Linked DNA regions of Bombyx mori. The protein of the gene in region 2 binds, or shares a complex with, the protein of the main gene of each other region. Links are inferred from orthologs where the notes say so. Each region holds a gene or a part of one and is shown on either strand. Other genes may lie near its edges.

The links. The genes of interacting proteins can lie anywhere in the genome.
Region 1: the proteins of regulator of MON1-CCZ1 complex (region 2) and vacuolar fusion protein CCZ1 homolog are in contact, whole or in part, in a cryo-EM structure (PDB 8JBE), measured with the Drosophila melanogaster proteins. The link is inferred for Bombyx mori from reciprocal best matches to the Drosophila melanogaster genes Bulli and Ccz1. Residues at the interface, in NP_648047.2 of Drosophila melanogaster: Tyr395, Gly397, Phe407, Tyr464, Ser467, Met470, Leu471, Gln474, Asn477, Asn498, Arg499, Asp502, Thr503, Arg505, Arg506, Leu507, Tyr510, Met512, Asp530, Thr531, Ala532, Gln535, Ile538, Asp539, Arg543, His547, Ile550, Lys559, Asp562, Leu566; in NP_647835.1 of Drosophila melanogaster: Tyr188, Leu189, Pro190, Leu191, Asp192, Lys193, Thr194, Phe196, Leu197, Arg198, Gln200, Asn201, Glu207, Val223, Leu224, Cys225, Gly226, Lys228, Tyr342, Asn385, Gln387, Ser388, Pro427, Ala428, Asn447, Tyr448, Arg449, Asp479, Phe483, Lys485.

What each region holds. Positions count from the first base shown.
Region 1 is NC_085114.1:10,377,855-10,381,524, forward strand, and holds the end of vacuolar fusion protein CCZ1 homolog, read left to right. Parts: intron 1-155; coding exon 156-337; intron 338-1,104; coding exon 1,105-1,190; intron 1,191-2,180; coding exon 2,181-2,308; intron 2,309-3,006; coding exon 3,007-3,065; 3' UTR 3,066-3,125; downstream 3,126-3,670. Other genes in the region: protein RFT1 homolog, read right to left, coding at 3,240-3,670. UniProt on the Drosophila melanogaster protein: Part of the Mon1-Ccz1 guanyl-nucleotide exchange factor complex specific for Rab7 that promotes the exchange of GDP to GTP, converting Rab7 from an inactive GDP-bound form into an active GTP-bound form.
Region 2 is NC_085117.1:6,360,554-6,364,886, reverse strand, and holds the start of regulator of MON1-CCZ1 complex, read left to right. Parts: upstream 1-1,436; 5' UTR 1,437-1,545; coding exon 1,546-1,665; intron 1,666-1,847; coding exon 1,848-2,218; intron 2,219-3,292; coding exon 3,293-3,414; intron 3,415-3,986; coding exon 3,987-4,108; intron 4,109-4,333. Other genes in the region: protein CC2D2B, read right to left, coding at 122-513. UniProt on the Drosophila melanogaster protein: Positive regulator of the Rab7 guanyl-nucleotide exchange activity of the Mon1-Ccz1 complex, possibly by enhancing its endosomal membrane association.

The sequences.
Region 1 (3,670 bases), on a different chromosome or scaffold from region 2:
TTGGAAATAACGTTATTTTTAAGGAAGCGCGTAACGAACGGGATCAAAAGACTACAAGATACAAGCTTGTAGGGTAATGATATGTGTCAACTCGTATTTTTTCAACGAAAATGCCCAAGGGCTCTGACATAAATAGGAACATTGAATATTTTCAGTAAACACTCGGCTGGAACTTGATACGGTCAAGTCAGTGGACGCATTTATTGGGCCGCAGCTATCAGCAATAGCTTCGGCCATCAGCGAACAATGTTCATTGCACGCATTACAAGCAGCGCAACTGGCTAGCGAACACAAGTTCGTGTACTTCAACAGATTAAATTTAATTTTGAAATCATCTGTAAGTAATACTTATTTTAACGCTAAAAGTTCGACTGGCGGGGCTTTTGTGAGTTTTTTATGGGCTTCGGTGTTCCGGGCTGTTTGCGAAGAGGATATGGAAATTATGTTAACACTGATTTGGATAAGATTTTAATAGAAAGCGACACAATTAACTAAAATAAAATAAAAAAGTTGAGAAAAGTACAGACAAACTAAGATTGAAAATATTTTGCCGGTCGTATTTGCGCGCGCCGCGGGCGCGTGTTTTTTTGGCTCAGAGTTCTGTCTCAGCGGTGGGTAAGGCGGCGGCGGGGCCGGTATCGCAAGTTCAGATACATATTTGGTTACGCTATATTATTTATTTATTTATAATATTGGTGAAGGAATGAGTTTACGCTCTATCAGGTTTAAGGTGGTTACCGGAGCCGATAGACATTACAATCTTGAGGTCGTTTTCTCAAATTCTCAACTATACTGTGTAGTAGTTAACCACCTCTTTAAAAATGAAACGCATGAGTACCTACTCAGACAGACTTTACAGACAGACCGACAGATATAGGCAGGATTGTCAAATCAAGCTAGGACAACTTAAACTATGCACTTAACTTAGCAGTTAAATTTATTGGTTTATAAGTTTTATGCTAACAAAACTTATAAACCAATAAATTTTAGCAGTACCTGCTTGCTGCTGATAGTTAAGAATAAACAAAGTGATGGTAAACCATAACACAGATTTAATGTTATTTGAATTTTACGATTTCTAGTAAAACATTTCATAAATTTCAGCCACCAGTAAATAAATTGCAAATATCCGCTGCGATAAAACCTGAAGTTCTTAGTATCATGTCTGGAATTCATGCTGACCGACAAAGGTTAGTCAGTAATTAGTAAAAATAATTTTTAGTTATTGTTCTGGTCGTTCCCTCAATGCTGAGGATCGTGACTGTATGTCAATCTTCTCCACTCGGTCCGGTTCTGCGCCATATGTACCGCTCCCCATATCTGGCCTCCAGTCACCTCCTTGAGTTGGTCAACCCATCTAGCTGGCGTCCTCTAGCGCGCTTCCCCTCCATCTGTCCGAGAATTGTGAGTTTCTCCAGGCTGTGCAATGAGGATCGCATTATGTGCCCAAAGAAACTCCGGATCCTTTCCTGATGAGTTCTAATGATTTGGATGGATTCGTCGGACAACATAAGACGACAAATTTTCATTACCTACCTATTAATAACATGTCTTCTTAATAAAATAGGAAGGGGGCACCTAATTAAACATCTGAGGGTACAGAACAGCCGCTCAATGAATGGCTAAAATTACTAGTCTACCAATACTCCATTATTCTTTGGTATGAATAAAGCAGTTGTAGAAAAATTCAAATATGCACCGGTCATCGTTCTCGTCGAACTCGTCGCTTGCGACGAAGGGCTCGGCGGGTAAATTAACCCACAGACACAGCCCACTGAGTTTCTCGCCGGATCTTCTCAGTGGGTCGCGTTTCCGATCCGGTGGTAGATTCCGCGAAACATGGCTCTTGCTAGAGTTCGTGTTAGCAACAACGTCAGGTTTGAGACCCGTGAGCTCACCTACTCGCCCGGTTACGTTACGCTGAAATGGTCTCTCAAGACCTAGTCCATAAGCTTGGATAGGCCAAGAAAAAAAAACAAATATGCATGCTGAGTGAACATAATACTATTAATAAGTTGAACAAATGTGGGAAGTTCAAGAATTAAATAATAATTGTAACATATCGTTATTTAATAAACGTAAACAAAACATGCTTGCGCTCGTAAGGAACGCTTTGATGAAATTAAAACACAAAACAATAGTCAAAATTAAATATTAATATACTTGTTTTTTTTTCCTAGCCTTGGAAATTATGGAGAAATAATAATTAAAACTCCAGACGAATACTGGATAACAGGAAAATGTTCCAATGACAGAGAATTCTATGTGATAATACAAGAGAAAAATGCCAACCTTAAAGAAATAGCGGGTGCGTACTCAGTTTTACTTGGTTCAATGGAAACTTTCAAATTAAATATATTTATTTGCTACATTAACACATAATATAAACAGTGTAATATAAAATAAAATATCATGGGCATTTTTTTTATTGCATAGATGGGTGGACGAGCTCACAGCCCACCTGATGTTAAGTGGTTACAGGAGCCCATAGACATCTACAACGTAAATGCGCCACCCACCTTGAGATATAAGTTCTAGTCTCAAGTATAGTTACAACGGCTGCCCCACCCTTCAAACCGAAACGCATTACTGCTTCACGGCAGAAATAGGCAGGGTGGTGGTACCTACCCGCGTGAACTCACAAGAAGTTCTACCACCAGTAATTACGCAAATTATAATTTTGCGGGTTTGATTTTTATTCCACGATGTTATTCCTTCACCGTGGAACTCAATCGTGAACATTCGTTGAGTACGTATTTCATTAGAAAGTATTTCATTGGTACCCGCCTGAGATTCGAACACCGGTGCATCCCTCAACACGTATGCACCGGACGTCTTATCCATTAGGCCACGACGACTTTAAGTTTGTTAATTTTAATATACGTTCATTGAAATTAAATACAGTTCTCATAACTACATTCCCTTTAGTTCGCACTTCCAATATAAAATTTTCATTATTAACTAGATAACCAATAAAATATTTTATTGTATTTCTTTCTATTACAGATGAAGTGAAGCGTGTCTGTGAAGCACAAATGAAAGGGATATTCTTTTACCCTATGTAAAAAATTATTAACAGATGTACATACAAAATTTTGCTAAAAATAAAACAACACAATATTCCATGGATACTTTTTATTACTCTCGGTAGGGGTACTCATAAATATAAATATATATATTAAATTTTTGTCTGTTCACCCTTAAATATATTTTAGAAAAAGTTAACAAATAGGTAACTATTAATCAACTGACAGCTTTTCTTCCTTATTCATAATTTTTCTGTGCATCTTAACAACCAGTTCTCTGTTTTCATAGCCCCAAGCTATCAATACACATAGCAGCATAATTCCGCCCACTAATATGTGGAGTAATATAAAAGAAGGGAATAAGCGAATTTCAGATATTTTACATACAAAACCAGCAATGAACAATGTTGATAAAAATATTTTGCCAACAAGCAAGCCATTCAAAGGCTTATATTCCGTATCTTTATATTTGTTCCTTATAAAATGAATACTGTGCATTATCCTAGCAAACATATTTATACAGTTTGAAATGATGAATCCTATAGGACCAAAAATATATGTCAAACAATATGACAAAACTAAGAAACTTACAGAGAAAATTACCATTAAATAGTTATAGCTATTTAACTGGCTACTAGTCATTG
Region 2 (4,333 bases):
GAACTTGATAAATCACTCATCGAATTTCTCGGATAAGAATTTATTAGAAAAAATTATTAGAATAACAATTCTTAAACCGCAAGACTGACAGTACTCCTAATGCTCAATGTGAAATACTCACCCGTGCTCAGCATCAACAGTAAATCGTCTTAAAAATCTCCTAAAAAGAGGAGAACTTTTCTTAATTACTCTATTTAGCTGCATTTCATCAAAACTCACTATCTTTATAGTATTTTCAGTAACAGGAACAGTTAAGGATGCCATCTCCACATTCACAACATCTAATATTTGAGCCTTATCATTTTTCTTCTTAGATTTTTTCTTTTTTACACCTTTGATGCTAATTTTCACAGTTTCGGTAAAAAAATCATATTCGTTTATAGTTATTTCTTTTTTAGAACTTTGCACTATGTTTTGAGTATCAACGACTGCATTGATCTCATGGTACTCTTCAATCTCATCCTGGCTCTCATAACAGGTTCGAAATGTCTGCAGTTCAACATTTTCAGTCATTTCCAGTAAATCAGTTTAATAATATTTTAAAAATTTAAACCTCGATTACTTTGAGTAAAAATTGTCTCAAAGACTTTAAAAACAACTCACTTATTTGTTTCGCCGCCTACTGTTACTCATGGTTGCCATGGTAACTAAAGATTGATCCATTTTTTTTGTACTAATGTAGTAATGACTTAGAACAAAATCGCTTCAATTGCTGTCTATCGTTTGTCTAGTAAATATTTGTAAGCTTGTTTTTAGTTTTTTTCTACCTTTTTTTACCGGGCTGGGGGCCGGACAAAACGCAGCTCACCCCAAGGATGCCCGGCGATGCGAGGCTCTAAAAAAACGTTAGCCGTCACGGTACGGCAGCCCGTCGGGCCACCAGGACGGCGCCGCCGCGCCGGTGTCCCTGAATAGCCCGCTGATTTTTTTAAACCAATATAAATATAAAAATTAAATTTTATTTTGTGTAATCTACAGTTTGCATTGAAATGTCACCTTGAGGGACTTTTTGGCGGGAAGGCGAGGAGTAGAGTTGTGTGATTTGTTTTATTTTGTCTATTTAGTGTTTCCTCGGGGCTAAATGTGTAATAACGGTGGCTTATTAACTGTTTAATATCTGTGAAAGTGCACAAATGTGGGAAAATGAAACAAAGCCACTGGACATAACTTCACGGGATTTTCCAAAAAGTCCACTGAACAAATCTCAGTAAATGACCACCATTTTACTGAAATTATATTTCATCCCATATCGTGTCATCTCATCTCATTTCATTATATGCTGTGTTCCATATGAATCAACTTCGTTTCATTTCACAATATCATTTTTCATTTAAATTTAAACAATATATACATCAAAGATTAGGCTGTATGATATGACACGTTTGCCTTTCCAGTTGAAAAAATAAAACTACTACTATTACCACTGTCGTCTGTCACCTTGATAGGAGAATAATAGTGTCAACTGTCGAGGTCAAATTTCCAAAACAATGACAAATAGTTTATCATTTTATTTTAACTAATATTCTTAAATAAAAATATAAGAACATGGCCAGATTTAATTTGAAAGATAGTGATGAATATTACTTGACTCTCACCGAACAGCCCAAACGTTTTGACCCGGACTGCCCTGTGACAAATGTATTTTTTGACGACACTAATGGACAGGTAAATAAATCATGTTTTCTTAAAATAATGTAACAAATTTAAGCCAGAATGTTCGTGGAAAATTAAAAGATTATCCCCAGATTCACTTAAGTTAAGCTTGGTACCATATAAGGTACATTTAAGGACAGTATTATATATCATTCGAGTTCTACTTTATAATACAATATCACAATTTTATTTAGGTATTCACAGTACGTTCGGGTGGAATCGGAGGCGTAACCGTAAACAGTATGGATGATAGAAAGTGTACATCTTTCCAAATGGAAGACAAAGGACCCATAATATCAATTAAATTATCACCCGACCAGAAAATATTGGCGATACAACGTAATCATGAGAGTCAGAGTGCTGCAGTAGAATTCGTGAACTTCAAGGACATGTCACCTACTAATGTAGAGTACTCTCACAGCTGTAAATGGAAGAACGCAAAAATATTAGGCTTTGTTTGGCCTAAAGCAAACGAAATTGCGTTCATAACTGATCACGGTATTGAGCTGTTTCAAGTTTTACCTGAGAAAAAACAATTGAAAAGTTTGAAGAATACCACATTTAGGTAAAGCATTTTTCCTACTAAGGTGCCACTAATTATCTTCATTTGTAAGTTGAAAATTCAATTGTATAATAATATAGAGCTATTATATTCTTCATCACTACATTTCTAAAGATCCTTTTGCCTCAGCAGCTGACTTTAGAACGAACCTACAGTGTTTTCTGAGTGCCATGCTCTTCTGTAAAGCTTGAGGAGGGTCCCTAGCAGTAAGCAGAGGCTTGGTTCTGCCTAGACATCATTAACATCTACGGGAAATGATCACCATTTATTATCAGTTGGATCGTAATATACTTTGTATGTCTATAATGGTAATAAAAAAATCATAATGTCTCTAGGTGGAGAGCAGTAGACATGCAGATCTAGATAAAGAGCTATATGAAATTTAATTGGCTCTTTAAACCAAAATAGCATAACATCCGGCTACAGTCACATATTCATGTTAAAGTATGCATTGTAACATGGGGGCAAACTGAAATGCATTAGCAGACTGTGACACAAATAGTTGCATCCAGGAAACTACTTGTGTGGATTCACAATACACTATCTACAGTCGTATGTGCAACCCACAAAAACTACTGGGTAGATTTAAAATAAGATTTCTTGAATTGCGCCATAGTGCAACAACACAAAGCAGCACGATAAACAATTAGCCGCATTGTCCGCGTTTTTTTTTGTGTGTGTGTGTTTTTTTTTTTTTTTTTTTTATTTATTGCCTTGATGGGTGGACGAGCTCACAGCCCACCTGATGTTAAGTGGTTACTGGAGCCCATGGACATCTACAATATAAATGCGCCACCCACCATGAGATATAAGTTCTAAGATCTCAGTATAGTTACAACGGCTGCCCCGCCCTTCAAACCGAAACGCATCACTGCTTCACGGCAGAAATAGGCAGGGCGGTGGTACCTACCCGCGCGGACTCACAAGCGGTCCTACCACCAGTGAAAAAGAGTGTCGTTTATATGTATTAACATTTTATATTACAACACTTCCTAATAAAGATTCATTTGATTTCACAAAAATACAGAATCAGCATTGTACCCTGAAACTACAAAATTTCTCTCCATTAAATTTCAGTGGTGCGTGGTTTTCGTGGTGTCCACAAAGCAATATAGTATTGTTAGCTGGAAACAACGGAATCCTCTTGCAGCCATTTTACCTCAACAATTCTACTATAACAAAACTACAGAAGTTAGAGTGTAAGTACTGTCAACAATAAATTATTCTATTGTATCATAGATACGTGCGTGCGAAGGTGATACAAAAGGGTGGTCACAACCCTCAGCAATGAGGAATGGGACGCAAGGAGGAGGACCATAGATACAAACTCATAGTCTACCAATCACCCAAACCACAATGTGCAAGGTGTCACCCTCCTTGAGACATGAGGTCTAAGTCTCAATTGTATAGCTTAAAGGCTGATTTGGACATGCCGTATGATTTTAACACACATATGACTCAAATAAGTGTAATACACCAAAGTCGTTGAGCCAAAAGAACAAGAGTACTCCCAGTTATCAAGTCGGGGGCGATGCTGTTCTTGAAGATCTGGAGGTAGTCACCAATTTTCCTTCCAATACACACACTTGTGTGATTTGTGTTAGGAAAACGTGTAATAGACGCATGTGGAGTTATTGCTGAGGCTGCTCGAAGTGAAGGTTGCGTCCCACCCCCCCTTGACCGACTGTCTCAACCAATTTAACGTTACAATTATCTCCAGATTTACTAATTATGAACACACAAACTAATTGGAATACTAATAAAATTACAGTAGATTCAATGAGACCAGTGGTAGAAAGGGACGTCTTCCTGCTCTGCTTGTGCGACACGACATGGTGCGCTGTGTTCAGGCACGGCGTATCCGCTTCTGTTGCTGCCCCCGGGCCTACCGAGGTCAGCCTCGAAACTTTATATATTTATTTAAGCTGCGTATACGGTCACTGAACACAACAATATGGAGGACTCAGGAGGAGTTAGATTGGACCCGGTTACAGTCTCCGGCGTTGGCTACAAGTTCCGACATCAATTAATGCAAAAAGTCTGGGAAAACCACCAGAATGAATATACCAAAACTTATTTGGACAAATATGGCAACATTGTGTTTAGGCAAACGGCTTA